Linked DNA regions of Elephas maximus indicus. The protein of the gene in region 3 purifies or fractionates together with the protein of the main gene of each other region. This does not show direct contact. Links are inferred from orthologs where the notes say so. Each region holds a gene or a part of one and is shown on either strand. Other genes may lie near its edges. The genes, in order: HSF1, UBAP2, BAG2 and TBL1XR1.

Evidence for each region.
Region 1: the proteins of BAG2 (region 3) and HSF1 purify together in Homo sapiens (affinity purification with mass spectrometry; 3 studies listed by BioGRID and IntAct, with this or other methods). This does not show direct contact. The link is inferred for Elephas maximus indicus from reciprocal best matches to the Homo sapiens genes BAG2 and HSF1.
Region 2: the proteins of BAG2 (region 3) and UBAP2 purify together in Homo sapiens (affinity purification with mass spectrometry; 3 studies listed by BioGRID and IntAct, with this or other methods). This does not show direct contact. The link is inferred for Elephas maximus indicus from reciprocal best matches to the Homo sapiens genes BAG2 and UBAP2.
Region 4: the proteins of BAG2 (region 3) and TBL1XR1 purify together in Homo sapiens (affinity purification with mass spectrometry; 3 studies listed by BioGRID and IntAct, with this or other methods). This does not show direct contact. The link is inferred for Elephas maximus indicus from reciprocal best matches to the Homo sapiens genes BAG2 and TBL1XR1.

The regions. Positions count from the first base shown.
Region 1 is NC_064833.1:674,030-681,878, reverse strand, and holds the start of HSF1 (heat shock factor protein 1), read left to right. Parts: upstream 1-4,734; 5' UTR 4,735-4,922; coding exon 4,923-5,039; intron 5,040-7,849. Other genes in the region: ribosome biogenesis protein BOP1, read right to left, coding at 1,350-1,529, 4,393-4,506. UniProt on the Homo sapiens protein: Functions as a stress-inducible and DNA-binding transcription factor that plays a central role in the transcriptional activation of the heat shock response (HSR), leading to the expression of a large class of molecular chaperones, heat shock proteins (HSPs), that protect cells from cellular insult damage.
Region 2 is NC_064827.1:42,908,274-42,915,391, reverse strand, and holds the start of UBAP2 (ubiquitin-associated protein 2), read left to right. Parts: upstream 1-4,117; 5' UTR 4,118-4,128; coding exon 4,129-4,177; intron 4,178-4,451; exon of another isoform or gene 4,452-4,519; intron 4,520-7,118. UniProt on the Homo sapiens protein: Recruits the ubiquitination machinery to RNA polymerase II for polyubiquitination, removal and degradation, when the transcription-coupled nucleotide excision repair (TC-NER) machinery fails to resolve DNA damage. May promote the degradation of ANXA2.
Region 3 is NC_064819.1:122,937,895-122,945,459, forward strand, and holds the start of BAG2 (BAG family molecular chaperone regulator 2), read left to right. Parts: upstream 1-4,428; 5' UTR 4,429-4,954; coding exon 4,955-5,067; intron 5,068-7,565. UniProt on the Homo sapiens protein: Co-chaperone for HSP70 and HSC70 chaperone proteins. Acts as a nucleotide-exchange factor (NEF) promoting the release of ADP from the HSP70 and HSC70 proteins thereby triggering client/substrate protein release.
Region 4 is NC_064841.1:22,503,202-22,510,584, reverse strand, and holds the start of TBL1XR1 (F-box-like/WD repeat-containing protein TBL1XR1), read right to left. Parts: upstream 3,018-7,383; 5' UTR 2,907-3,017; intron 1-2,906. UniProt on the Homo sapiens protein: F-box-like protein involved in the recruitment of the ubiquitin/19S proteasome complex to nuclear receptor-regulated transcription units. Plays an essential role in transcription activation mediated by nuclear receptors.

The DNA.
Region 1 (7,849 bases), on a different chromosome or scaffold from region 3:
TAAAAAGCGGGGAGACTTGGAAATCAAAAACTATTAACTATTGTTATGGACTGAATTACGTCCTGTCCACAAAAAATACCGTGTTGTAAATCCTAACCTCTATGAGTTGAAATTGACTCAACGGCAAAGGCTTTGGTTTTTTCCGGGGTATGCCTGTGGTTATAATCCCATTGGGGAATGGGTTGTCTATGTTAACGAGACAGGATTAATTTAGAGTGTATCTTGAGTCAATCTCTTTTGAGAAATAGAAGAAAACAAAGGAGCAGAAGCTCAAGGAGACAAGGAGAGAAAGCCTTCCCCTAGAACCAGAACCCTGAATTCAGACTCCAGCCTATGAGAAAATAAATTTGTTAGAGCTACCCACGGTTACAGCAGCACTAGGTGACTGAGACAGCTGTACTCACCACCTGGGGCCAAGGGCACTGCAAGGGAACACACACTCATTACTGAACATGCTGACATATCATCAGACTTTTCTTCAGAGAGGGCAGATTTTGTACTTTTGAGAAGAGAGGGAAAGTTTCCCATGATCCTACAAGCCAAAACAGGCACAGTGCATGTGGCCCTTCCCAACGGGGATGACGTGCCCCGCGGCCATTCGCACCAGGGTCAGTGCAGGTCCCAAATGGCAGATGCTGAGGACGTGAACTGTGGCTCCATCTCGTCTTCCTTACCAAACAAATCAAACCCAGTTGAAACAACCACAGCATTCTTGGTGCTCTTACAGGAGTAGACTTCTGTGTAAGTCAAAGTCACGAATACCAGAACACCAGGGCTGTTTGAAGTACAAACTGGTGTAAACTAGTTTCTAGAACTTTTTAACATAGTCAGTTTGTATTTTGTTAAATTAAGCTTTTCTCCCACTTTCCTTAAATCAAGAGCAGGGATCAACCTTCCCCATCATCACAGTACCCGGCCCCGGTCCCCGCAGGGCTCCCATGGGTCAGCCAGGCTCCGTGCTCTCTTCCGTCGCCCAGGTGCTCCACCTACTCCTCATAAGTACCCTGGGCTGGGACACGGGCCTCACCCCAGGCTCTGCTAAGCTAAAGTCTGGCTGGGCCAGGAGAGTTCACCCTTGTCCTGTGGGGGTGACATAGTTTTTCCCCAGTGACTGACACCCACTGTGGCTGGAACCAGTGTTCTGGAGCCCAGCTACCCCAGCTACAAACAGGTGGCTGCACTTGGCACTAAAGGTGCCCCAGGGGCACTGAGGAAGGGGTGCCCACGGGGTTCCCGAGGGAGCTGTGGAGAAAGGCACAGCCTCTTGGTGAGCCCCAGGCCTGGCAGGCACTGCTTGCTCCTGGTTGCCTGGCTTCTGGGGAGGCCCACAGGAGGCCCTGCCCACCCACCTGTGACTGCTTCTCAATGGTCTTCCCCGTCCCGACATGACCTTCATCACTGTTGGCCCCATCCTCACTGTCGTTGTCACTGCCAGAATCTTCTAGGCCGGAGAACACGCTCTCCTCGCTGTTAGAGAGGCCAGAGTCACTGGTATCGATGTGACTAGGAGCAGGGCTGCAGAAAGAGGGCTGCAGGGAAGGAGAGTGTTGGTTCAGCTGGAGCTGCCTGCCCACCTGCCTGCCCACCTGCTTGCCCACAGGCCCTGTGCTGAACAGGGAGGCACAGCAGAGACCGGCTCCTCCAGGCGCCACCACAGCTCTGAGCAGCAGCAACCCTCCACCTCCACCCAAGCCATCCAGCCCAACCCAGACCTTTCCCATCTTCCACCTCCACTGACAGCATCGCCGTTCACCCTTGAATGGGCGTTTTACTTCCCAGTATCTCACAAGACACAGAGACTTTTCAAGGACACCATCCTCTTCTTAGAGTTTAGTTCTCACTGCCTTCCCAAAACCGGCTTTCCATGCCAACTGAAACCCCCCATGCCTCACCCTGATATTCGAGGTCCCCAGAGCCATGAGAGCACTACTAGGAAAGGGGCTGGGGACAGCAGAGAATTAGAATCCACGAGGGACTTTTACTACCCGAAGCAAAAGCCTCCTCATCGCATGAGATTGGGACAGCCAGTCAATCAGTAAACTGACAATGTTGGTTAAAGTCATTCATAAACGTGATGCAGTGTAGGGCCTGGCTCTCTGGGCCAAAGTCTGAGACTGAGGAGGCACAGTGGGCGATCCTGGCGTGGCCTTTACCAAAGGACAAGGACGCAAAGGCGCTTAGGAAGCAAACTGAATGCAGAATTCTGGATTCCCACCTTCTTCAACATTTCACAACCATCTCGCCTAATTGGACAGCCTGTGTTTATCAGCGGTCCCTAGCACTCAACTTCATCTTTGCCTATGCTCACCAGCTGTTTCTAGCATCAAACTTTGTTTTCACAGATATGACCCTCTCATACGCTCACACTATATCTCTGACGTTTTGATAGCTACACATCACAAAAGCAAGTAGAAATGGCATAAGCTGGTTTGGAAACAAACACGACAGAAACTCTTGATGAGTGCCCAGCCCAAGTGATGGCCGCAGCCACGACCAGAGTGGAGCACTGCCTGCTGGGGATGAGGGGTGGGCAGCAGCAGAGGCGGTGTAGGTGAATTTATCTCACAAAGAGGAGGGACAGCTCCCACCAATCCAGCTAAGTGGTGTCAGCTGTGAGAGGATCCAGCGGATGTGCCTCTGTGCTCCAGATGTGACGAAACCCCCAACCAAGCAGGATTGAGCTGGGAAGCAGAACCAGCAGTGCTAAGTGGGTTCAGTTAAAACAACGTGTCCAATGCAAGAGGCTCAAAGGCAGACTGTCCACTGGGCTCTAGTTACATTTCTGCGTTCTAACATCCTTTTCTCCTTGCTGTAATATATCTAACATATTAGCCTCATAATACAAACAAGTACTGCATAATTAAGCGTATATTGGAGGAGCAAGCTCAAGTGTTCTTTAAGTTTTCATTTATTGGTTCTTGTTGAGAACGTACACAGCAAAACACACCAATCCAACAGCTCTACAAGTACAATTTAGCAATGATGATTCCCTTTGAGTTGTGCAACTATTCTCACCCCCCTTTTCTGAGTGGTTACTCCTCATTAACACATTCTCACTGCTCCCTAAGGTTCCAATCTAATTCTCCAGTTGCTGTCGCCACTGTGGTCCCATATAAACAGTGCTAAAAAGACCATAATGCTCAAGGCAGACATTCTTTACTGGCTAAGCTAAACTACTGTTTCGTGTTAAGAAGACTTCAGAGAATATTTTTTATTTAAGGTTTAAAGATGATCTCAGGGCACCCTCTGTGACTCCAGGAAGTCTGGATTCCATGAGAATCTGAAATTCTGTTCTGCATTTCCCCCCTTTTATCAGGATTCTTCCACAAAATGTTTCATCAAAACATTCATTCACGGTAGCTGGGCACCATCCAGTTCTTCTGGTCTCATGGTAAAAGAGGCAGTTGTTCATGGGGGCAGTTAGCCACACGTTCCGTATCTTCCTCCTACTCCTGAATTTCCTTTTTCCTCTGTTGTTCCAGGTGAATGGAGACCAATTGTGCCTCAGATGGCAGCGTGCAAGCTTTTAAGACATCAGGCACTACACAGAGCGCCAGGCAATAGTACAGAAGCACTGAACAGTGACCTGGGATATGCCGTGAAACCATGAACCTCCAAACCAAGAAACCAAATCCCACGAGGTGTTGGTGCACAAGCAGTCTCAGCACTGCTCTCTGGTCCTTGTAGTTCAAATGTTCTTAATGACAGGGTGATGCCCTGCCCTCCATTCCCACCCTCTTCCCATTTCGCTCCTCCTTAGACACTGTTCTCCAACCCCACAGAAGTGCCCCTGATTCCAGACTGCCTAGACACCTCTGCCTGGACCCCTCCCCTGCCGCCGCCTCCACTAGAAGGCAAGGCCCGATTCCCACGGCACCTTTCCTAGATTCCTAGTTCCCCCACGCGACTCAATCCTCGCTCTCAGCTCCAGCCCGACACACACTTCGAGTGGGCTCTCCTAGCTGCGTGCCGGCGAGGTTTGCTTGAACAGCCATCAACAACAGGCCTCCACTAGGATGCCACCCGACACTAGGGCGGGAACGCCTGCGCCGCCTGTGAAATTAATGCCGAACCCCAGGTTGCTTAGGGAGGCGGCTGTCCCATCCTACCCGCCCTGGGCACGCCTGGAGCGGTCCCCTGCAAACAGCAGCCCGGCACCGATACCCTTTCGGTTAAAGGAAACCCCATCCCCGACCTTCACCTCCGAAGCCTCGCCAACTCTGACGCCTCCTCTCCGCCCAGCCACCGCGCGATGTGTCGCTGCCACAGCCACGGAGGATGCGCCCAGCAGCCTCGGGGCGCCCCGCACGTGCGGCCGCGTGGGCTCGGCCTCGCCCGCCCGCCGCCGCCCCGGCCCCAGCGCCCGCCGCCCCGGCCCGCGCCCGCTGTCACCTCCTCCTGCTCCCGCTCCGACTCCCGCTCGGGCTCCGGGTCTGGCTCCGCGGGCCGCTTCCCGGGCCGCGACTGCGTAGCCGCCCCACGTCGCGCGCCCCGCGCGCCCGCCATCCTCCGGTGAGCCTGCTCTGCTTAAACAGCCGCTTCCGGCAGCGACCCGCCGCGTGCGCCTGCGGGGCGTGGCAGCGGGGTCAGAGGGCGCGGCCGGCCCGCCCCGCCCCGCCTGCGTTGATTGGTGAACGGTGGCGGGGGGCGGGGCAGAGCCATCCCGCGCAGGCGCGTGGCGGCCGGGAAGGGGCCCAGAGCCGGGAGCGCGCGCGCGCCGGTGGGGACGCAGGCCGCCGGGCGGCGCCAGCGGGAGCGCGCCCGTCCCAAGATGGCGGCGGCCATGGTAGGCCCCGGGGCTGTGTGTGCGCAGCGGGAGGCTGCGGCGGCGCGGCGCTGGCTGCGGGTGCAGCGACGGCGCTAGCCCGTTCCTCGGCCTCTGCTCGCGGCCGCTGTCTCTGCCTCTCCCTGCCTTGTCCGAAATGGATCTGCCCGTGGGCCCCGGCGCGGCAGGGCCCAGCAACGTCCCGGCCTTCCTGACCAAGCTGTGGACCCTCGTGAGCGACCCGGACACCGACGCGCTCATCTGCTGGAGCCCGGTGAGGGGGCCGCCGGCCTGTCGGAGGGCGGGGAGGGAGCCCGCCGGGCGGCGGGAGGGCGGGTCCTGCCCCGCCGTGGGAGGGAGGCCGCTCCGGGAGGGGCGAGGGCCGCCCGCGAGTCCCGGTGGGAGCCCGGGAAGGCGGGGGCCAGGTTCCCGCCTCTCACCCCCCGTGGGCGGGGCGGGGAGCCAGCCAGCCAGCCACCGCCGTGGGGGCGCGAAGTTTTCAGGGGACGCCTCCCCGCTCGGTTCCAAGGCCTGCAGGTCTCGAGTTTGCCCCGTAGGAAAGGGAATTCCAAGACTCGGTCCGCTTTGAAGCATGTTTAGGGTCCTGGGGGTAACGGCCCTGCTCTTCCCACACCCCGACTTGGTTTCAGGGATTTTCAGCAGGTGAGGTGGCAGCCTCTAGCAACGCTGCTGTCCTCAGCCTCCTCCTCGTTCAGCTGCTGACCGGCTGAAGATTCTCCGGGACGGGAAGGGAAGGCTGGACCTTCTCGTTCTTTGCTCCTTTGCTAAGTGTTGGACAAGCGTGGAGATGTACTGTCCTTAGACCAAACGTCCAGTTTCTCTAACGAACATTGTGCCAAAGTGGTGATTTTTATCTCCAACGTGTTACTGCGGTGGTGTTACTCAGAGGCAAATCAGAACTTGGCACATGAATCGCAGGGCGCTGCTCTAGTGGAGAGGAAAGGGGATGAAAACAGAAAGTAAAACGTCATAAACTCAAGCTGATCTCCTGTGCGTTTCCGGATCCCAGAAGTGGGTTTCCTTAGAGCAGTTTTGTTTTTCGTTCCTGGTGGGGCATCTCTGTTCACGTCCTTGTAGTCCGTTGCCCGGCAGCAGGCTTGTTTACGCGACCTGACCCTGAAGTACCCGACAGCTCTGGTTTGTAGGAGTTAATCCGTGATTATGTCTGGAGTTGGCGTTCAGATGGCTGTTCACATCCTGGCTGTGACAGTGTGTCTGATGAGGGCCACAGACCCAGCTCAGGGCTGGGATGTGATTGGTGGCCTGAAGGAATGCACTTTTGGAGACACCATGTTAGGGCTGGGTGCTTCCAGCCATACTTAGACTTCCTGTGAGCTCACACATTGGAATTTCTCAGACTGCAACTATGGCCCTTTTGTAGGCCAGTTGCTTAAGCTTAGTTGCCATCAAGTGATTCCGACTGCCAGTGACTCCATGTGTGTCAGACTAGAACTGTGCTCCAAATGGTTTTCTGTGGCTGATTTTTCTGAAGTAGATTGCCAGGCCTTTCTGCTGAGGTATATCTGGGCAGACTTGAACCTCTGACCTTTTGCTTAGCAGGTGAATGTCTTAGCCATTTGCACCACCCGAGGACTCCTCCTTGAGCCAGTAGGAATGAAGAGAAGTCTGGGCTGAAGCTCTGCCTTGTCAGAGGGCATTTGGGGATAAAGAGAAGGGTAGAGCACTCACCCTGCACTCCCTCAAAGCGCTTTTCTGAGAAATTTTTGCCTCTGCTCCCTGCCATCTCCTGTGTGGGTATCCCCTACCCCACCCACCCACCCCCCCATCCCCTACCACCATTTCTTTAATGCCAGGTACAGGTCCCTGGAAGAGGCAGTGGGCTTCCCCCGCATGCTCTCTTCATGTTTCCGCCATCCCTTCCATCTAGACCTCAACCCTTCCTGGCCAGACAAGATGACCCAGTGCTTCTTTCTCCCTGACCCTCTCCTCCCACCTCTTGCTCATTCCCCTTAGCTCACAGGAGGGGGAGGGGTATTAGGGGGCTGATCCTAGAGGTTGCAGAGGCTGTGAGGCACCACATCTCAGGCCTCTGGGCCAGCACACTCTCTTCCGGGACCCTCTGTGTGTTCTGGGAAAGGCCTTTGCCTGGAGCATTGTACTTGGCTGGGTTTGCGGCCATCGTCCACCAGGCATAAGCCTGGGCAGGGTCCCCAGAGAGGCTTTGCTCTTGTATCACAGCCATCTGTGATCCCATCGATGGGGCGGGAGCCAGCCAGGGTGCAGGCGTGTGGTTCTCCCTGGTTAGCACGCAGCCTGAGTGGCTGGGGTCAGTGCAGGACACAATGGGGCTGGTGGTGACAGTGAGCCCCAAAACCCAGCTCTGGCAGAGAGAGGACTGCGGGCTACCTGGCCCTAGAAAGGAGGGGATGTTCCCATCCTGCAACATCTGAGGACACCCACCAAAGCCCTGCAGCCCCTCTTTCAGCTCAGCCCCAGTCCAGGACCCTGCAGATTCTGTCACCCAGAGCCCAGCCCCCAAAGGCCTCAGGGAGGCTGATGTTCGTGCCTGTGCTGGAAGCGTTCTCCCGCTCTGCCCAGAGGTGCTGGCAGGCAGGCGCAGTGCTCCCTTGTGTGACACGGGACGGGAACTAGAGGCCTAGTGAGAATAACTCACAAGACCGACCTGCATTTGCTGGGCCATCAGAGTGAGCACCTCCTTAAATGTTGTGCCCTGACAGGAGAGTGGGGACGCTGTGGTCCCCAGGGCATGGGCCCTTCCCAGAGTGCCCGTAGTGTCAGTCTTCAGAGGCCTTGCTCGGAGAGGTGCTGAGCCTCTGTGTGGACTTGGTCCTGTGGCTGGGCAGGAGTCAGGCCAGCCCAGGTATTCCCTGGGCAGTCACACCAGACTCCAGGAGTTGGCAGGAGCTGGACCATGGGGTGCACGGGCAGTCTCCCATCCGCCCCAGAACCCACCCAGCTTCAGGGCCAGGTCTGTTGGGTAGGGGAGCTCATTCAACTCAAGCTCTTGAACCCCTGGCCTCGGACTGTTGCCAGGGCTCCCTAACAGAGGCAGAGCACCTCTCTTCCCTCAGCTCTGAGGTG
Region 2 (7,118 bases), on a different chromosome or scaffold from region 3:
CGGTATTCAGATACCAGTAGGGTCACCCATGGAGGACAGGTTTCAGTTGAGCTTGCAGACTAAGACAGACGAGGAAGAAGGACCCGGCAGTCTACTTCTGAAAAGCATAAGCCACTGAAAACCTTATGAATAGCAGCGGAACATTGTCTGATATAGCGCTGGAAGATGAGCCCCCCAGGTTGGAAGGCACTCAAAAGATGACTGGGAAAGAGCTGCCACCTCAAAGTAGAGTCAACCTTAATGACGTGGATGGAGTAAAGCTTTTGGGGCCTTCATCTGCTGATGTGGCATGACTCATAATGAGAAGAAACAGCTGCAAACATCCATAAATAATCGGAACCTGGAAAGTACGAAGTATGAATCTAGAAAAACTGGGAATCGTCAAAAAATGAAATGGAACACATAAACATCGATATTCTAGGCATTAGTGAGTTGAAATGGACTGGTATTGGCCATTCTGAATTGGACAATCATATAGTCTACTATGCTGGGAATGACAACTCAAAGAGGAATGGTGTTGCATTCACTGTCAAAAAGAACGTTTCAAGATCTATCCTGAAGTACAACGTTGTCAGTGATAGGATAATATCCATACGCCTACAAGGAAGACCAGTTAATATGACTATTACTCAAATTTCTGCACCAACCACTAGGGCCAAAGATGAAGACATAGAAGATTTTTATCAGCTGCTGCAGTCTGAAATTGATAGAACATGCAATCAAGATGCGTTGATAATTACTGGCGATTGGAATGCGAAAGTTGGAAACAAAGAAGGATCAGTAGTTGGAGAATATGGCCTTGGTGACAGAAACAATGCCGGAGATCGAATGACAGAATTTTGCAAGTCCAACAACTTCTTCATTGCAAATATCTTCTTTCACCAACATAAACGGCAACTATAAAAAAAAAAAAAAAAATTTTTTTTTTTATACATATGGACCTCGCCAGCTGGAACACACAGAAATCAAATTGACTACATCTGTGGAAAGACATGATGGAAAAGCTCATTATCATCAGTCAGAACAAGGCCAGGGGCCGACTGTGGAACAGACCATCAATTGCGCATATGCAAGTTCAAGCTGAAACTGAAGAAAATCAGAGCAAGTCCACGAGAGCCAAAATATGAACTTGAGTATATCTCACCTGAATTTAGAGACCATCTGAAGAATAGATTTGATGCACTGAACACTAGTGACTGTAGACCAGACGAGTTGTGGAATGACATCAAGGACATCATCCATGAAGAAACCAAGAGGTCAATGAAAAGACAGGAAAGAAAGAAAAGACCAAGATGGATGTCAGAGGAGACTCTGAAACTTGCTCTTGAGCATCGAGCAGCTAAAGCAAAAGGAAGAATTGATGAAGTAAAAGAACTGAACAGAAGATTTCAAGAGGGCCTCTCGAGAAGACAAAGTAAAGTACTATAATGACATGTGCCAAGAGCTGGAGATGGCAAACCAAAAGGGAAGAACATGCTCGGCGTTTCTCAAGCTGAAAGAACTGAAGAAAAAATTCAAGCCTCGAATTGCAGTAGTGAAGGATTCCATGGGGAAAATATTAAACGACACAGGAAGCATCAAAAGAAGATGGAAGGAATACACAGAGTCATTATACCAAAAAGAATTAGTCCATATTCAACCATTTCAAGAGGTGGCGTATGATCAGGAACCGATGGTACTGAAGGAAGAAGTCCAAGCTGCTCTGAAGGCATTGGTGAAAAACAAGGCTCCAGGAATTGATGGAATATCCATTGAGATGTTTCAACAAACAGATGCAGCGCTGGAGATGCTCACTCGTCTATGCCAAGAAATATGGAAGACAGCTTGCTGGCCAACTGACTGGAAGAGATCCAAATTTATGCCTATTACCAAGAATGTGGGAATTACAGAACAATATCATTAATATCGCACGCGAAGCAGAATTTTTCTGAAGATCATTCAAAAACGGCTGCAGCAGTATATCGACAGGAAACTGCCAGAAATTCAGGCTGGTTTTAGAAGAGGACATGGAACCAGGGATATCATTGCTGATGTCAGATGGATCCTGGCTGAAAGCAGAGAATACCAGAAGGATGTTTACCTATGTTTTATTGGCTATGCAAAGGCATTCGACTGTGTGGATCATAACAAATTATGGATAACAGTGGGAAGAATGGGAATTCCAGAACACTTCATTGTGCTCATGAGGAACCTTTACATAGATCAGAGGCAGTTGTTTGGACAGAACAAGGAGATACTGATTGGTTTAAAGTCAGGAAAGGTGTGTGCCAGGATTGTATTCTTTCACCATACCTATTTAATCTATATGCTGAACAAATAATCTGAGAAGCTGGACTTTATGAAGAAGAACGGGGCATCAGGATTGGAGGAAGACTCAGTAACAACCTGCGTTATGCGGATGACACAACCTTGCTTGCTGAAAGTGAAGAGGACTTGAAGCACTTACTAATGAAGATCAAAGACCACAGCCTTCAGTATGGATTGCACCTCAACATAAAGAAAACAAAAATCCTCACAACTGGACCAATGAGCAACATCATGATAAACGGAGAAAAGACTGAAGTTGTCAAGGATTTCATTTTACTTGGATCCACAATCAACAGCCATGGAAGCAGCAGTCAAGAAATCAAAAGACGCATTGCATTGGGCAAATCTGCTGCAAAGGACCTCTTCAAAGTGTTGAAGAGCAAAGATGTCACCCTGAAGACTAAGGTGTGCCTGACCCAAGCCATGGTATTTTCAATCACGTCATATGCATGTGAAAGCTGAACAGTAAATAAGAAGACCGAAGAAGAGTTGATGCCTTTGAATTGTGGTGTTGGCGAAGAATATCGAATATACCACGGACTGCCAAAAGAACGAACAAATCTGTCCTGGAAGAAGTGCGGCCAAAATGTTCTTTAGAGGCGAGGATGGTGAGACTGTGTCTTACATACCTTGGACATGTTGTCAGAAGGGATCAGTCCCTGGAGGACATCATGCTTGGCAGAGTACAGGGTCAGCGGAAAAGAGGAAGACCCTCAACGAGGTGGATTGACACAGTGGCTCCAACAATGAGCTCAAGCATAACGATTGTAAGGATGGCGCAGGACCGGGCAGTGTTTCATTCTGTTGTGCATAGGGTCGCTATGAGTCGGAACCGACTCAAGGGCACCTAACAACAACAACAGGCAGGTATTTTACATAATCCCGTTTAATTTTCACAATCTTGCAAAGTGGGTATTATTATCACAAGGTAACAAAGCTCTGAGGTAAGGCTTCCTGGACTCAAAAGTCCGTGTATCTAACCAAGTTGGGATAATGCTTTTGAGGCTCAAATAAGGCAATAAATGAGAAAATACCTAACATACTAAAATTATAAATGTACTTATGCTTAATTCCTGAAGGAATAACTGGGTCAGATCTTATGGAGAGGAGGGTCAGCGTTCGAAGACAGAAAACCTGGTTTGGATCTCTTAAATCGGAAAATAACTGAACCTCTCTAATCCTCTTTCCTTATCCTTAAAATCCGGTCAATCCCTGCCTCAGGGGGTTGTTTATGAAATTTAATAAAATGATAATACAAACGGCTAACGTTGAGCAGGCGTCCGATAGATGTTAATCTTTCCACACAGAAAGGAAATGGGGAATGCAGAACCAATTCGATTCCACATTAACCAAGGCGGAACTCGCGAGGTATTCCTGCCCAGCGCACCAGACCCGTTCAGGGTCTTCTTGAACCCGCCCGGGTACTGCAGGTGCTCTGGCGAACCGTTGGCGTTTTCCCGCGCAGGGGGAGGGGCGGAGCGCAAGGCCGGGAATTTGGTAGCGGCGTCCGCCCACCAGGACTACATCTCCCAGCAAGAACCAGGTTCAGTCACCTGGTCGACGTAACCCACTGGTATTAGTCTCAGAAGCTAGAGATGTCCACTTTTCTTCTTGGCCTTCCCTTGGCACTATGTTCCCAGGTTTACGTCTATGAACCTGCACGGAAAAGGCTGTGGTAGTGCATGTCTTTGCTATGGAGCATGCTGGGAGTCGTAGTCCTCTCGTGCAACGTGTGGGAAGCCAGGCTTGCCTTGAATGGTTACACCATATCACGTGATACGAGATCGCCGGAGGTGGCCGACGAGCGACTTGCAGTGCCTTATGAGGTCATCACAGCGCGACAAGCTGCAGTTAGGGCATCCTGGATGCGGTGGGTAATATTTCCCTAGCCTTTTCCAAGTAGGGGAAATCCCATAAAACTTCCCTCACTTGCTCCTTTCTCTTGCCCCCCGCCACCTCAACGCTGTTGGCCTCACGGGGTTGAGAGAAGCAGTGGCTAGAGGAAGCGGTGCGCGCTTTGGGAGGTCTCGGGAGCCGCACGGAAGCGGCTTGTGGCTCCTCCTTCGGTGGTGACGTAGAGGTCACGTGACGGACCGGGCCGCCTCCGCTGCTGCCGCGGCTTTGTAAGCGGCACATTGGCAGGTAACGAGAAGCGGCGGCGGCGGCGGTGGTGGTGGTGGCGGCGGGTCGGAGTGCAGCGGGAGCAGCAGCGGTAATTGCCACCTGTCCTTCTTCTTCCCTTTTCCAGGTTCCTGAGCCTTGCAGCGTGCGCTTTCTAGTCCTGGGTTCATCTTTTCTTTGCCCTAACCATCTTCAGACTGCCCCAGCGCCCACCCGCGAGGACCGGGCCAAGCTTCCCTCCTCAGCTTGACGCTTCCTCCGTATCCTCAGGCCCGGGCACCCCCCTTCCTCTCTGGGTTGCCCTGGTTCTCCTTCCTGTCTACCCCCATCCTAGTTCCACCGGCCCCACCCAGCCCCTGGGGGCGTCTCTCCCCCCCCCGCCACCGATCTTCTGTCCTGGAGGGTGTGGTTTTCTCTACCACCTCGTCCCTGCCAGTCCTCTCGAGCTCCCGCGCCACGCTCTCGCTACCATCCTTACCATCTTTCCGCTTTTACGCCCGTCGCTAGTCCTGGGACTGGCCCTCTTAGAGCCCAACTTCTGCGCTAACCCAGAGGCATAGTTCAGTTCTACCTCTTATTCTCATTTCGGAGGTCTTTGGCCTCAGACTCTTAGAACTCCGTTTTCTTCCTCAGCCCCAGTTCCTGTGATCTGGTTGTGTCACAGTTTGTTCTTTAATGTCGATTTGAGAGCGCTTTGTAAACTGTGGAGCGCTGCCTGTCAGACGTGTTCAAAATGTTGTATCTTTCATTGGTAGATGACAATTCAGTTTTCTTGGCTCTGAATCACTTTCCCACTCTCCTCCAGCCCTCTCCTCATTCAGTGTAATTAGTTGCCCAGGCATCTCACATTCACTCTATGGATTCTTGTTTTCTCTAGGGATCGATCCGTAGTCTTTCATGTTTGACCTAATTCTGTAGTTTACTACTACTTCTCTTGGAGATTGCTTTTCCAAAGTTTACGATCACTCAGTATTCAGGCTTTTCTCTTATCCAGCGCCTGCATACCCTAACAGTTAAGGCCTTTTTAAGGTCTCCATCCAAAGATCATCTTTTATTTGAAATTGTTTTGTATGTATGTATGTGTGTGTGTGTATATATATAAATATATGAAACATTCACTTTCTGTGTGAATTCACTTATATTTTTTCTTCCATTTCGATAGCACTTTTTTTCACCTACGGTTATGTCAAGAATTATTGTGTTCTCATTTTTAATCATGAATTGTACATTCTTTTTACTGTCAATTTGTTTGATAAAGGTGGAGGGAAGATGAACATCACACCTAAGCACTCCTTTACCTTAGTCACTGGGTGGGTAGGTTGGGCTGGTCCCCATCTATCTCAGGAAAGGGAATAAATTCCACTCTCTGAAGATGATATAGTCTTCCAGTATACCAGTGTGGCTTCTCTGCGTCTGGAGCCCCTTGGCTGGAAGCAAAAAAGCATTTTTTGGGGGGCACCCTTTAATTGCTGTGAAGCTTGCCTTATCCTTAGGCAAAGGTGATTAGTTTCCTACATCACTCTTTTGCTTGCCTCCAGTGTGCTGCTCCTGGTTTTTCCTCCTTATGGCTAGTTCACACGTGGGATGAAAGATTGCCCCTGCCCCTCACTCCCCAATGCCCTACTTGTTTCCCACAGTTCTGGTTTCTCCTGTTTCCTTGTTGCCGGCTGACCTTCAATTATTATTAAACGGTTCAGTGAGGGGAAGTTTTTGTTGTGATTGAAATATGGCTGGGAAATGGTGGCTTGGGAGAGAATGAGGCCATAGGAAAGGGCTGTGGTAATTGTCCCTCCTGCCTGTTTCCTGCTGCTCTGGTTTCCTCTGGCCTCTCTCTTTAAATGTGGGCTGGACCAGCAGCACTCACATGGAGCTACCTTTAGAACAAGGCCAGAACATCAGTAACACCTCTGCTTCCCTTTCCTGGTAACTGGTGCAGACTGTATAGTGCTCACCAGGAGTGTCTTGATACTATCGTGAGTGACTATTATTTGGGGGAGAAATGGTGGGAGAACAGGGAGAAGAATGGGTTTATTGTCTTTATTCTAAATATGCAGTTGTGTTTTGATGTGAACTGGTCACTGTCTCTACCACCTTTAAGTACAAACTACATGTAGAAAGTACAGACCTATTTTGAAGATTTGAAGTGATCTCAAGTGAAGCCTTTACTTTTAAAGTGCTAGTCTTATTCCCAATCCTCCCCCCACCCCCAATGGTGACTTACTGTTAAGATTTCCTTTGTTATAAGACCTATTTTTTTTCTCTTTTAATTTTTATTGTGCTTTAAGTGAAAGTTTACAGATCAAGTCAGCCTGTCATACAAAAATTTGTATATACCTTGCTATAAAAAAAAAAAAAAAAATTTTTTTATGTACTTGTAGTTGCTCTCCCCCTAATGAGACAGCACACTCCTCTCCACCCTCTAGTTTCGTGTCCATTCTTCCAGCTTCTTTCCCCCTCTGTCTTCTCATCTCCCCTCCAGACAGGAGCTGCCCACATAGTCTCATGTGTCTATTTGATCCAAGAAGCTCACTCCTCACCAGTATCATTTTCTGTCCTATAGCCCAGCCCAATCACTGTCTGAAGAGTTGGCTTTGGGAATGGTTCCGGATAAGACCTATTTTTCAGGATTGGGAGTGTGTTATAAAAGAGCAAATGCCTGTTCAAAAGAAGCAGTCTGTATGAGCTCACAA
Region 3 (7,565 bases):
TTGCTCTCCCTCTAATGAGATAGCACACTTGTTCCCTACACTCTCTGTTTTCATGTCTATTCAGCCAGCTTCTGACCCCCTTTGCCCTCTCATCTGCTCTCCAGACAGGAGCTGCCCACATAGTCTCATGTGTCTACTCAATCCAAGAAGCTCACTCTTCACCAGTATCATTTTTTATCCCAGTGTCCAGTCTAATCCCTGTCTGAAGAGTTAGGGGAAGGTCTGGGGACCATGACCTCTGGGGTCCTTCTAGTCTCAGTTGGACCATTAAGTCTGGTCTTTTTATGAGAATTTGGGGTCTGCATCCCACTGCCCTCCTGCTCCCTCAAGGGTTCTCTGTTGTGTTCCCTGTCAGGGCAGTCATCAGTTGTAGCCGGGCACCATCTAGTTCTTCTGGTCTCAGGCTGATGTAGTCTCTGGTTTATGTGGCCCTTTCTGTCTCTTGGGCTTGTAATTACCTTGTGTCCTTGGTGTTCTTCATTCTCCTTTGCTCCAGGTGGGTCGAGACCAATTGATGCGTCTTAGATGGCCACTTGCTAATGTTAAAGTTAAATTTTTGATAGCCTGTGAGATTTTGCTGTTTTGTGGTTTTGCTTTTCTATTTGTTTTAAGATTCATATGCATCACTTCAAGTCTTTTTGGAAATAAGTGACGTAGATTTTTCTTTTTAATGTTGAAATAAGTGATTACTTGCCAGTTGACTGCCATCCCTAAATGAAAATAACTTGCAAGGTCCTTAGCACATTATATTCATGTATTTTGAATTTCATTTTGAGGTAATATCCAGATTCTCATGTTTCATAATACTCAAATTTTATGGAAGAAAAACTTCCAAGTTATCCTAAGTTTTTCCAGTTTACTTTTCCTTTTCTTTTTGAAAAGGTGAATGTGCTTGATGAGATTTATATAAAGCACATGTTTATTAGCTTTCTGCCCTAAGTATTAAAATTTATGTTTTTTAATGCAGATGTGGAATTAGAAGAAGCTATTAGAAGAAGTCTTGAGGATATGTAATTAAAGATATTACCACACAACATCAAGTGGCCTTGAAGAGATTCTCAGGATGAGTTCTAGAGTTTGTTTTCTAAAGGACACCGAAATCTACTAGCATAAATGTATTTGAGAATATGCTTTTGCATTCATGTATTCAGAGTCTGATATTTGCTTTGTGTTTTTGTGCTATTTGGCAAAAATGTTCAGAAGGAATGGAATATATATTAATACAAATATAAATCATGTATTCTAATGTAGGTATTCGTTTCTCAGCTAACTTCGAATGCATATACTTAGATTAAAATGATTTTTAAAAAATAGAAAAAATCTTGGCTATTGTTTATATATTTCTCAAATATGTGTTCTTTAATTTTATTTGTACTGTACAGATGATTCTGGTTTATTTTTTTAGGAGTGAAAATGAATAGAAATAAAGCTGCTCAATTTTTCTGTAAATCTTCTCACGTGGCATTGATATAAAATACATTTTGAGATCTTTATTTATAATTATTAGACCAGAGTAGTGGAAATTGATCATGTAAATAGATTAAAATTTTTACCAACAATGTCCCTTTTGGGTTTTGCTCAAATGTATATCCCTGCTTTAATTAGAGGAGTACATTGCTAGAAAAAAAAAAAAATCAATTTTTTTGAAATAATTAAAAGGAAACATTTTCTATTCCTTTTACCTGCTTAGACTTTTCTATGACTTGTATGAGCTACTGTTGAAGGGGAATGATGCTAAAATATTTGTGTAGAATTACACTTATTTTTAATAATCTTAGTCCTTTTTTAAATATATTTATGTAAACATAATATTCCTCAAAAAATAATGTAAGGCCTACTCAGGAATATTCTTCCTTAACTGTTTTAAAAAAATTATTTCTTATGAAAGTAGCTTCATTGTAGTTATTCATTGAATTGTCAATTTCCTGCATTTGGATTACATATTTAATTTTTAGATGTTGAGGCCCCATTGTGAATAGTAAAAATATTACATAAATAGCAAAGTAAGAAGAGCTCATGATACTACCTGTGTGTGTTTCATGTTTTTTGACCAGAAATCCTTTAGCATTAAAAAACTGAGTAGTAATTACTTACCAAACTTGAAAACATTTCTTTAAACATAAAGCTTTCTTTAAGACAAAAAATACCATGGCCAGAATTTTGTTCTTTCTCTGTAACACTGGATATTTTATTGTAAAGTGGAATTACTGTTTTTTTTTTTTTTTATTATTAACAGCCTTTTCAACCCACATTGAAAACCAAATTGTGTATTTCTTAAGATGTCAGTTCTGTTCCTCCCTGCTTACATTTTTTTAAAACACCATAGCTTGAGAATTTACCTGTCATCATTCTAAAATGACCACATTATGCTTTCAATTTGTAGGTTGAAGTGGTCAAGCAGGGCTCTAGGAGGTACTCATTAAGCCGGACTTTAAAGATACTTGCAAGAGCTTTCTAAATAGGAGCAGAAAAAATGGTCCAGGAAGAAGAGTGGTTTAGCAGATGTGGGGCAAGTGGAGACAGTAGCTCTTTGCCAGAGTTCCATACATGGGTGTGATGTACACTGATATTCCATTAATAAGCTTTTGTGGTTTGTATGGTAGAGAGTAACCAAAACTTTTGAAATGACAGGAAAGGAATATTTCATCATGACCTTTAAGAAGAGGTAGTTTAATGTTTTAATTAATAATTGTCACCAATTGTATTTCTACCTGTAAAGCAATTAAAAGTCATTTAAAAGTACGTCATAGTTTAATTTAATTTAGACACAAGGAGAAGATATAATCAAGTGGATGACATTAGAGAAAGTCATATGGCTTATTTATCAAAAGTAAATGTTTCTAACATAAAGATGCTTTTCATTACATTATTCATTCATTCAAAGAACTATTGAATACCTACCATGTACCAGCAACTGTTCAAAGTACTCGGGATGTACCAGTTAGCAAAATAAAGCCTCCACCCCTCTGTGGAGCACACATTTGGGGAGAGGGGGTTGGATGGAGTTTTAGATAATAAGCAAGTAAACAAAACAGTATATCTGATGATGATAAGGGTGATGAAGGAGGGGCTTACTATTTTTAATAGGGTGGTCAGGAAATATCTCTCTGATGGGTAAAGTTGAGCAAAAGAAGGTGAGGGAGTGAGCCATGCAACTATATATGGGGAAAAGTGTTCCAGGTGCAGTGAAAAGGTCTAGAAGTGAGTTCAGCATATTCAAGGAAAAGCAAGAAGGCTAGTGTGGCCGAAGCGGGATGAGCTAGGAGGGCAGCAGATAAGATTGGAGAATTGAGGTGGGGAACTGTGCATGGAAGGCCTTAGGCCTTTTTAAGGACTTGCTTTTTCTCTCGCATGAGGAACCATTCTAGGTTGCTGAGAATGAGTGGTATGATCTGCCTTATTTAAAAGAATTAACTATAGTTGCTTTATCAAGAAGACATGAGATGCAAGAGTAGAAGCAGAGAGACCAGACAGGAGGGTACTGGAGCAATCCAGGTGAGAGTTGATGGTAGCCGTGGAATTGGGGAGAAAAATCTGGATATATTCTAAAGGTAGAGCTAACGGATTTTACTCATGGATTGGATCTAGGATATCAGAGAAAGAGTTCAGCATGGTTCTAAATTTACTTCATAGACTTTCACACCATTAACAAAATGTCTTCAGATTCCGAGCTTGTGTCACAATATGACAAAATATGTTTAATGAGGTCAAATAATCTCCTACACCAATAGTTCATTAGTATTTAGAATGAGTTCAGAGGGAATTTCAATCTGGGTTTAAGGGCCTTATGTTCAAGTATTAAATGGCTTTGATGTCTGATTAAAGGTTGTGATTCAGCTTTAAACGGTTTTGTCATTTTCTGTGCTCTGCACATTTTCGCCTTTACTGTATGACACACAGCTATAATAAGATGGGAACAAAACAAATTTTTCCTTTAAACAGAAATCGTTATACTCCCAGACCTACTCCAATCTTTTACCGACCTTTATGGTATCTCACCTAGTGGACTACTGCATCTTGCCATTGTTACTAGGAGATTTAAATAAGTTAAACATAAAATGGCCTTCATTGTTAATACCAACTATTTCACTCACTTCCTACAGGAATAATTTTTTTGAATAAACAGTAAAAACAAATCAATAAAAATTGCTTCATTAGAATGGGTGGAAACGAAGCAAATTCATCTTGCTTCCCATATCCAGCTAGACAGACAGGTGTGGTAGCTTTTTTTTTTTTTTTTTATAGGCTTAATGTTGTCTAGGCTGTGATTTTCATCTCAGGAAAGGGACGGGTAACAGGACAGGTCTGGACTGCCTAGGGGTTGTACATAAATGCTTTCAGCTCCCCAAAGGGACCATTTCTGCCCACATCAAAGGACTTTTAACTTTTTTTTTCCTTGCTGTGAATTATGGGTGCTGGGAGAAACTGAAAGAAGCCATCACTGAGCACTACACCCACCTGTGGGCGTTGGTTACTTTCAGGCTGCACCGAGCAGGGGGGTCCATTCCGGGGAAGGAGGCGGGGCGTTCTCCGCGTGGGCGTCGGTTGTTCCAGACTTCGGCGAGCAAAAGTACCAGCCGCTCGCGTTGTGCCCAACCCGCTGCCTGTGTCCGCCCTTCTGGGTTCCTTGAAGGCTGCCTGGCATTGCTCCTCAGGTCCCCTTGCTCTGCCTGCCTATCCTGGAGACCCGGTGACCCGCGAGTCCCTAACCACTTCGCTCCCCCCGCCCCACCGCCGCAGCAGCCCCCGAGCCCCGCGGGCGCCGCGTCTGTCCTTCTTTGGCCAAGCGGCAGCAGCAGTGCCGGCGCGTCTCCCGGGCCGTCCCCCGCGGGCGTCAGAAGGAGGCGGTCGCCCCGCGCGGTGACAGCGACGCCTGCGGCCCCGGGAGCGCTCCACTCGCCGCTGTCGCCAGAGAGGCCGGTGACCTCTTGGCCCCCCCGCCTCGGAGGCTCAGATGGCTCAGGCGAAGATCAACGCGAAAGCCAACGAAGGACGCTTCTGCCGCTCCTCCTCCATGGCGGACCGCTCCAGCCGCCTGCTCGAGAGCCTGGACCAGCTGGAGCTCAGGTGAGCGCGGCCGGCGGCGGCGGGGTTCCCATGCGGAGGCGGCCGGGGCCGGGCGGGGCCTGGCCGGCCGGGCGCCGTCCCGCCTTCCCGGGGCTGCCTGTGCAGCAAGAGCCGTGCTTGCTTGAGATTTGTTTTTGGTGGAGATGGCGCGGTTTTGTTTCTTGGTGTTTTTTCTCCTTGTCCGAGAGAGGACAGATTCTATTTAAGCTAAACCTGTGAGCGTGTTATTGGTGGTCACATTCTGATTCACGTGTCTGGGCGTTTGGCAGCGGAGAAAATACAAATCAGAAAAGATAAAAGTTACGATGACATTGTTTGAGATTAGGGACTGTGGCACTCCTGGTGAGCAGAACTTCTAGAACCTTCTTTGTGCCTCTACATGGTCCTTCCAAATGTTTCTAACTTAACACTTTTTCTGTTATGCGTTTTTAAGGGAGGCAACAGTTTAGTGTGGCCCCCGATATGAAATGATCAGTTTTGTTGCTCCAGAACGCTTTAGAGCAAAAAAAAAAAAAAAGGAATCCACCCAAAAGCAAGGTTTAGAGAGGAGTGGGACAGATGCTGGGCTGTGGGGTGAACGGTAGCTGGGTATTTTATGGAATAAAGACACCGCAGCTTCCCTTCCTCTGGTAACCCCGCATACTGTATTCAGCCATTCCCTTAGTCTCTAAATATTCATTGTGTACCTTCTTATATGGAAGTCACTGTGCTGACATGACACCTTCTTGAAGGTGCTAGTCACCGTGGCCTGAAAGCTTGAAAACATAGTTTCCCCTTTTACCTGATTAAGATTTCATTAAGTGATTAACCGCTCCAAGTCGGAATCGACTCCCCGGCGACGGTTTTTTTTTTTTTTTTAAGTAATTAATGCAGTGGTAGGCTTGTATAGAATTTCTGAATTTATAATAAATTTTGGCAATACTTTTTATTCCTTTAACAGTATATGAAAACTTTTGTTTCCTATGAACGTTTTGATCTGTGTACAGCTTTATGTACTTAAACGAAGATCTTACTAAGGCATACAGGAACCCCCCGAAATTGGACAGAGTTTTGTTTCACAGTTTTCACCAGGTTCAAAAAGGTGTATGTGAGCCAAAAAGTGTAAGAAGGGCTGCATGTATGTGTTTATCTCTCCTGATTAATATACCAAATCAAAAAGAGATGTATGTTTTCCAAGAAAAGTAATAGCCACAGTATTCTCTAAGCACTGAGGCACTTCCAACTTTCCCAAGAGTCAGAGAATGAGAAATTCTCCACGTACGACGATTTCATGAATGGCAACAGAGAAATCTGAGCCCTAAGCCAGGTTCTGAGGTTCTGCTCAGAATGAGACAAATGGAACAAGACAGAAACAATGCTTCTATGTGAATTTCCACAAAAATAGTAAACCTGACCCATTCAACCCAGAGAAAGTGGAGCAAAACTAGAGATCAAAGGCCTCAACGACTTTCTGTCTCTAAGAGTAATATTTCTCTCCATGCAGCAGTGTAAAAAGTAACTCACACCTCTCTCCTGGTCTTTAGAACTTTGAGAACATGTCTTCTGACTTTTCAGGAGTCTCCTCAATTCAGAAAGAAACGGTTTTTTCCTTAAAAGAATGAGGAGGGCGTGGCCCCTCCTTCAAGCTGAGTCATTGTCCTGAAACCAGAACTAATACCTCACACGTGGTGGGTACAAAAGTAGTCAAGTGTGCCTCTTTAAAAGAAAGCATCTAGTTTTTTGAGTATTATTATAGTCAGATGTTTGATTAATGTAAAATAATTACTGCATGTAAGTGATTAAATTACAACTTGCTTAATTAACCAGTGAGCTGAGGAGGAAGGACTACTGATTAATATGTGTCTTAATTGTTCATTTCAAGGACTTTTCTAATAATTCTAGACTTTTAAAAGCTCTATTTCTTCCTTTAAAAAAAGAAACGAAACTGAAAACTTAGGAAGTATTTCACCAGGTAAGAAAAGATAGAAAAAAATGCTGCCATTCCTATGAAAGTTGTTCTGAAACCACGCGGGGTATATTAGGTAGAGGAAAATGTTACCATTTTGTACTTAGAAGCACGCATTTACTATTCTCCAATCACACTGGTTCTGTAGATTGAGAAAGAAATTTCTTCCATATGAAACTGAAAGCAAGATTATGCCAAATGCTGTATGATTTGAATTACGAGCTGGTGTGTATGTTTAAAATGCTTTAAAATATTTGGCAGCATTCTACAAATCATTAAAGAATTCCATTTGTTTCTAATACTTTATCATGACACTAGCCTTTCTTCTTTGACTCCATCTCCTTTGTTCCTTCCTCTTAAAGAGGTAATTCATGTCTCTCCACGTTTTCATAACCAGTTCTGAACAGAGTCTGAATTTTTCATTTTGCAGTGGCTCAAGACACCCAACTTGTTTGTTATTGTTACTTTTTTAACAACTACTGCAATTAATAATTATTATTAAGAAGAAACGGACCCCTGGTGGCACAGTGGTTAAGAGGTATGTCTGCTAACC
Region 4 (7,383 bases), on a different chromosome or scaffold from region 3:
AGGGAGTGCAGCATGTTTTGAAGACGGAGGCCCCTCAGTTTTTAAAGCAAATGTGGTGTTAATCTTTCTAAGGCTCTCAGAAAGCAGGGGTGGGGGTGCTTCTCAGACCTTTGTGTAAGCCTAGGACAGAAAAAGCGGCTACCCTTTGGAAGTTAAAATACAGCTTAAAAGAAACCTTTTTGTTATTTTCAATTCTTACTATCTTCAAAGCAAAATAATATTTTTGGAGCTTTTCAAAGTGAGGAGTTCAGTTTTTATACTTTTATCACAATATTTGGAAATAGGTGTAGTCATTTTAAAGCAATAGTCTTTTCCTCAATATCAGAGACCTAAATTTTAACACCAAAAAAAAAAAAAAAAGTATCATTTGAAGTAACTTTTACACATGTGGACTCCGGGTGGCCTAATAAACTCAGAGATGAAAGCAGAAGCTTTCTTGGCTAGGGTCAATAGCTGTGTCCCCTGATGGGCCCCAGCTTGAAGGCAGCAGACAGGCCTTTCGTGACCCACATGAGATGGGGGAGGGGAGCCGGAAAAACAAGCGAGGAAACAGTGTGATTGGAAACTCCCTCCCAACCACCAGAAAAGTTCAAAGCATTTGTCCTTAGAGCTAGCTATTTTGATATTTGAAAGAGGGAATGTTAGATTAAACAATGTCACCCGATGGGAATTTAGATAACTGCAGGTTTCCAAAACACTGTTCAGAGTGTACAGGAAAACAGAACAAAGAGTTTTGCATTTCAGTAGGATTCTAAAGAGGTTTATTTATCACAGAGCTTGCATTTTTGCAAAGTCTCTTTAAGAAGTGATGGAAGTACAATATCTTCATTTTTTTAATATTTTAAGAGTTGATTAATGAAATATGTATGTCACCAAATCCTCTCTTCAAGAAGTAAACTATCTCAATACAGTTATCATTATCTGAACCAGTGAAACAAATCTATTTTTGGCCTAGCTTGTTTTTAAAGTTTTACACTGTGCCACAGGGGTCTTCTCCAGACAGCAGCCACCGTAAAACCAAACCACTCTTCCACTGAGTAAGGACTTCCCAACCACACCAGTTCTTAATAGGATCATCCCCAAACTTGGGGCCCCAGCCTTACCCAGCCCGAGAATGACCCCTGTAACTACTCCCATGGTGGAGAGAGGGCCCACCTTCCTCAGGACCCATGGCTTCTGGCCTAGAGTTTTTGTACCCTAGACCAAACTGCCTCCTCCCATAACAGAGGTTGTGTTAGTTGAACCTCAGCATAATCATAATAATTCATGCGTTTGTTTACCTCATCGTAGGTTACAAGGTATTTCTCTGCATAAATTACTTCATTTGAATACCAACCAAAACCAAACCCAGTGCCGTCCAGTCGGTTCCGACTCATAGCGACCCTATAGGATAGAGTAGAACTTCCCCATAGAGTTTCCAAGGAGCGCCTGGCGGATTCAAACTGCTGACCCTTTGGTTAGCAGCCATAGCACTTAACCACTATGCCACCAGGGTTTCCTTCATTTGGATGTCATGTTAAAAATCACTAAAGGCGGGATCAGGTACCACAACTAGTTTTTATAAAGTGCTGCTCACCTGTCATTATTAAAGCATGCTCACCGAAGAGAAAACTCAAGTAAGTACCTTTGGGCAAAGAAAAGCAACTAATGTAGAAAAACCCGATTCCCCCCTCCCCGCCCCACCCCCATGAAGGGAATTTTAAATGAGACCATATTTTGATCACTTTGATTTCTGTACTTTGGGGACCTAACTGAAAAGACAGTGTGCTTTCAACATGAAATGCTCAGATACTCACCCCACAAGGTTGCATGTATTGTTACCTCCCCTTCTAACCTTTCCAACTTACCCAGTATGCAAGATCACAGGCTGCGCTGAAATTCACAGGGTAAGTAGGTGTAGGGCGTAAGGACAAAGAAGTAACTATTGTTGCTAATCTTCAGAGCTCTGTCCTAGTCTAAAAGCTGGCCTTATGCTTTGAATATAAATGTTAATATGTTTCTAGAAAGGAGAAATTATTGTTACAAAGAAATTCTAAAGCAAAAAAAAAGGGACACATTATTAAGAAAGTTCTCTTGAACTTTCTAGCTAATTACTCAACAAAGAGAAACCTTATACTAGCAACTGTTACCAGAAGTTACATATATGTTATAAAATGACTAAACAAATCCTGACTTGTTTTATTACAGTAATATTACACCCAGGGGGTGTGGTATGGCAGGATAGCCTACATCTTTGCAACTTTCATCATTCAGGAAATAGAGCATTTTAAAGTGGTTTCTTCACAGGCCTACAGGACCTCATGTTTTTTAAAGCCACCATGATGTTTTACATTGTTGACACGAACTGACAGATACAATTAAAGTGTTCAACACAAACTTAATACCATGAAAAGGATATTTGACACCAAAAATACCATCCTGGTGCTTTTTTGATATTCTTTACTCACCCAGGAACTCAATAGCTTTATGTCTGTAGCCTTCACCCTCAGGCGTCTTGCTGATAGCCTGTGATATGTTTCTGTTTCATTTTGACTTTGCAATTCTTTGTCTGTGGTTCTCCCAGCTATCAGCTTTTGCCATCCGGACTGATGTACAACTCAGCCACACATCACGAGATCTCAGCACACAAGTTCCTTTTCTCCATCTGCCCTTAGCGTGCCACTCATGACCTTTTCTCATCAGTGTGAACCTTGTCACAGTTTTCCATGCCTCTGTGACCCGATTTCATTACAACAATGAACTTTACTTGGGAGTCTTAATTTAAATTACAAAAGAAGCACACAACCATCTTACAACTATTTACGCCTCTCCCAGAATGGAAATAGCAGGTTGTGTCTTGTGTTTGTGATTAAGTACAGAAAAGCACCCGCATACAGAATATAGTACTATACCCATCAATTACTTACTTATACTGACCAGCCATGTAGTTCCTCGGGGCGACACTCAAGGCCTCAAATTACGTTGATGGGTTTGCTGCTCATTCTGTCAACAAATATTTATTGAAAGCTTGGTGTGCCAGGCAGTGGAGCTGCTGTTTTAGTTTAATGTGCCTATCAGACACCCAGTGAAGATGTTGAGTAGGCAGCCAGATATGCAAATCTTGTGTTCAGGGGAGGTATCTGGCTGAAGATATCATTTTAAGTCAGCATCCCTGGGTGGTCCAACAGCTACCATGCTTGGTTGCTAACCAAAGGTTGGAGGTTTGAGTTCACCAAGAAGCTCCTTGGAAGAAAGACCTGGCAATCTATTTCCAAAATATCAGCCACTGAAAAATCCTATGGAGTGTAGTACTACTCTGACACACATGGGGTTGCCATGAGTTGGAATTGATGCAATGACAACTGGTAGGTATTGGTTACCATGCTTGGTTGCTAACCAAAGGTTGGAGGTTTGAGTTCACCAAGAAGCTCCTTGGAAGAAAGACCTGGCAATCTATTTCCAAAATATCAGCCACTGAAAAATCCTATGGAGTATAGTACTACTCTGACACACATGGGGTTGCCATGAGTTGGAATTGATGCAATGACAACTGGTAGGTATTGGTTCAATAGAGTAAGGGTATTTAAAACCATGGGCTTAGGTACAATAGATAAGGGAATAAGTACAGATAGGGAAGAGTTCACTGTTACATCCAATGTCTCCTGCACCAAAATGTTTTTGGTTGTTTTTTGTTGTTAAATTACCAAGGCCTTTCTGCTCTTGATTTAGTCAGAAGCCTATACATCATATTTCATCATCACAGTATTCTAACTATGCAAGGATATTGATGGAAGCCATAGTAATATTAATTGCAGTTATTTATTGAACATGCTGCCAAGTGTTTTTCAAAGTATTTTATGTTTGTTGTCTCTAATATTCTCAATAGCCTGAAGAGCTAAGTAATATTATTCCAGTTTGACATATGAGGAAAATGAGGCAATGAGACCAAATAGCTTTTCTGAGGTCACGAGGCCAATAATGGCAAAACAAGGATTTGAACTCAAGGCTGTCTGTGTGCAGCATCTGCTCTTCCACCTTGTGAAGCTAAGCAGGTCAAGGCGGGAAAGGGCAAGCATTTGCTGAATGAGGAGAACAGGGAAATACAAAGTGGAGGAAAGGAGAAACTGCTTGGAGAGGAGGAACCCCATCTAAATCACATTTATATGACATCCATTTCCTAGATCGGAATCGCAAAAAATGTTTATTGAATGCAGACGTGGTTATAACCGACGAGTCAGATTCACTCTCTGGCACTCTTTGATACTACTAGTGTACCTATCTCCTCATCACAAAAGGAAGGACTTTGTGCCCCTCACTCCCTGCCTCTCACCACTTCCTCTGCCACCACATGGCACTATGGGTGTGGGGGTGTTCTTTTTTTTTTCTTTTCTTTTATTGTGCTTTAGGTGAAAGTTTGCCGAGCAAATTAGTTTCTCATTAAACAATCAATACACAAATTGTTTCGTGACATTGGTTGCCAACCCCATGATGTGTCAACACTCTTCCCTTCTCTACTCTGGGTTCCCCATTTCCATTTGTCCAGTTTTCCTCTCCCTGCCTTTTTGGCTTTGCTTTTCAGCAGGTGTGCCCATTTAGTCTTGTACACGATTGAACTATGAAGCACTTCCTCATGTGTGCTATTGTTGGTTTTATAGGCCTGGCTAATCTTTGGCTGAAGGATGAACTTTGGGACTGAATTCAGTTTTGAGTTAAAAAGGTGTCCAGGGACCCTACTCTTGGGGTTTCACCAGTCTCTGTCAGAAGAGTAAGTTGGTCTTTTTTTTTTTTTTTTTTTGGTGACTTTGAATTTTTTTCAACATTTTTCTCCCACTCTGTCTGGGACCCTCTATTGCAATTCCTGTCAGAACAGTGTGTTATAGTAGCTGGGCACCATCTAGTTCTTCTGGGCTCAGGCTGGTGAAGGCTGTGGTATTTGTGGTCCATTAGTCCTTTAGACTAATGTTTCTCTTGTGTCTTTGGTTTTCTTTATTCCCCTTTGCTGTAGGTGGAGTGGGACCAGTAGATGTACCTTAGATGGCTCCTCACAAGCTTTTATGACCCCAGATGCTACTCACCAAAGTCAGATGTAGAACATTTTCTTTATAAACTATGTTATGACAATTGATCTAGATGTCCCCTGAAACCATACTCCCCAGCCCTCAGTCCAGTAACTCGGTCCCTCAGGGAGTTTGCTTATGCCTATAGAGCTTCTGGAAACCCTAGTGGTGTAGTGGTTAAGGGTTCGGCTGCTAACCAAAAGGTCAGCAGTTCAAATCCACCAGGCACTCCTTGGAAACCCAATGGGACAGTTCTACCCTGTCCTATAGGGACTCTGTGAGTTGGAATCTACTTGATGGCAATGGGTATAGAGCTTCTGTGACTTTGCCTTGTTCAAGTTGTGCTGACTTCCGAGTATTGTGTACTGTCTTACCCTTCACCAAATTTACCACTTGCCTATTGTCTAGTTAGTGTTTTTCCCTCCCTACCTTTCCCCTCCCATCAAAGATTGTTTCTTTCTGAGTGTAAACCTTTCCTTGAATTTTTATAATAGTGATCTCATACAGTATTTGTCCTTTCGTGATTGACTTATTTCACCTACCATGATGCCCTCCAGATTCGTACATATTGTGAGATGTTTTGCAGATTCTTCATTTTCTTTATCAGTGTGTAGTGTTCCATTGTGTGTCTGTACCATAATTTCTCCATTCATCTGTTAATGGGCACTTAGGTTGTTTCCATCGTTTTGCTATCGTGAATAATGCTGCCGTGAACATGGGTTGTGCATATGTCTATTCATGTGACAGCTCAATTCTCTAGGATATATTCCTAGGAGTGGGATTGCTGGGTCATATGGTATTGCTATTTCTAGTTTTTTTAAGGAAACACCATAATCATTTTCCAAAGTGGTTTTACTGTTCTATGGAAACCCTGGTGGTGTAGTGGTTATGAACTATGACTGCTAATCTAAAGGTTGGCAGTTCAAATCCACCAGGTGCTCCTTGAAAACCGTTATGGAGCAGCTCTGCTCTGTTCTATACAGTCACTATGAGTCGAGATTGACTCAATGGCAACGGGTTTGGTTTGGTATACTGTTTTACATTCTGCGGGGTATTTTTGGAGACAGCTCTTTTGGGCAAAGAAGACAATAGACAATAATTCAGTTTTATTTATTATACATTTGAAAACCTGCTTTTATTTCCAACTTTGAAATTCAAGTTACATACCCAACTCTCCCGTTAAGGAGATGTTTACAATTTGGTTAATTCCATTCCCTAGAATTATTAAACTGCATTTATACATTTAATGTATTCAATCTTCTTTTAAAATATTTCAGATGCTCAACAAACAAAAGAATCACAAATAAGTAAGGCTCATAAATATGATAAACTAATTACAAAATATGATGAATCTTATGTTCTGTTGAACATAACAGAAATATTTAGAGATTTAGTAAAATTCTCAAATCTTTTTGCTTAAAAAGCTAGCACCATTAGGTAAGTTATGTTTTTATTTGATAAAATATTTTTATTTTATTTTTTATTTAATTTTTGAAGAACAAGGCTTTGATACACAGCCAAATGGGCTTCCTAATACTTCCCGTCCATTAAACTTATTCCATTCAGCAGCAACAGGCAGAACTGAACAATTACAACCCTTCCCTGAATTGTTTTGCTGAAGATAAGTTAAAAAATGGTCACAGCAGCACATTGACGAGGAACTGCCAGAAATTCAAGCCAGACTTAGAAGAGGACATGGAACAAGGGATATCACTGCTGATGTCAGATGGATCTTGGCTAAAAGCGGAGATACCAGAAAGATGCCTACCTGTGTTTTACTTACTATGCTAAGGCATGGAACTGTGTGGATCCTAACAAATTATGGATAACATTGCAAAGAATGGGAATTCCAGAACACTTAATTGTGCTTATGAGGAACCTGTATGTAGATCAAAAGGCAGTCATTCAAATACAACAAGGGGATACTGAGTGGTTTAAAACCAGAAAAGATATGTACCAGGGTTGTATCCTTTCACCATACTTATTCAGTCTGTATGCTGAACAAATAATCCAAAAAACTGAACTGTATGAAAAAGAACATGGCATCACCATTAGAGGAAGACTCACGAACAACCTGCGACATGCAGATGACACAGCCTTCTTGCTGAAAGTGAAGAGGACTTGAAGCACTTACTGATGATGATCAAAGACTACAACCTTCAGTATGAATCACATGTCAACATAAAGAAAACAAAAATGTTCACAAATAGACCAATAAACATTATAATAACCAGAGAAAAGATTGAAGTCAACGGTTTCATTTCAGTTGCATCCACCGTCAATGCCCCTGGAAGCAGCAGTCAAGAAATCAAATAAACACAAGAGAAAGATTAGTCCAAAGGACTAA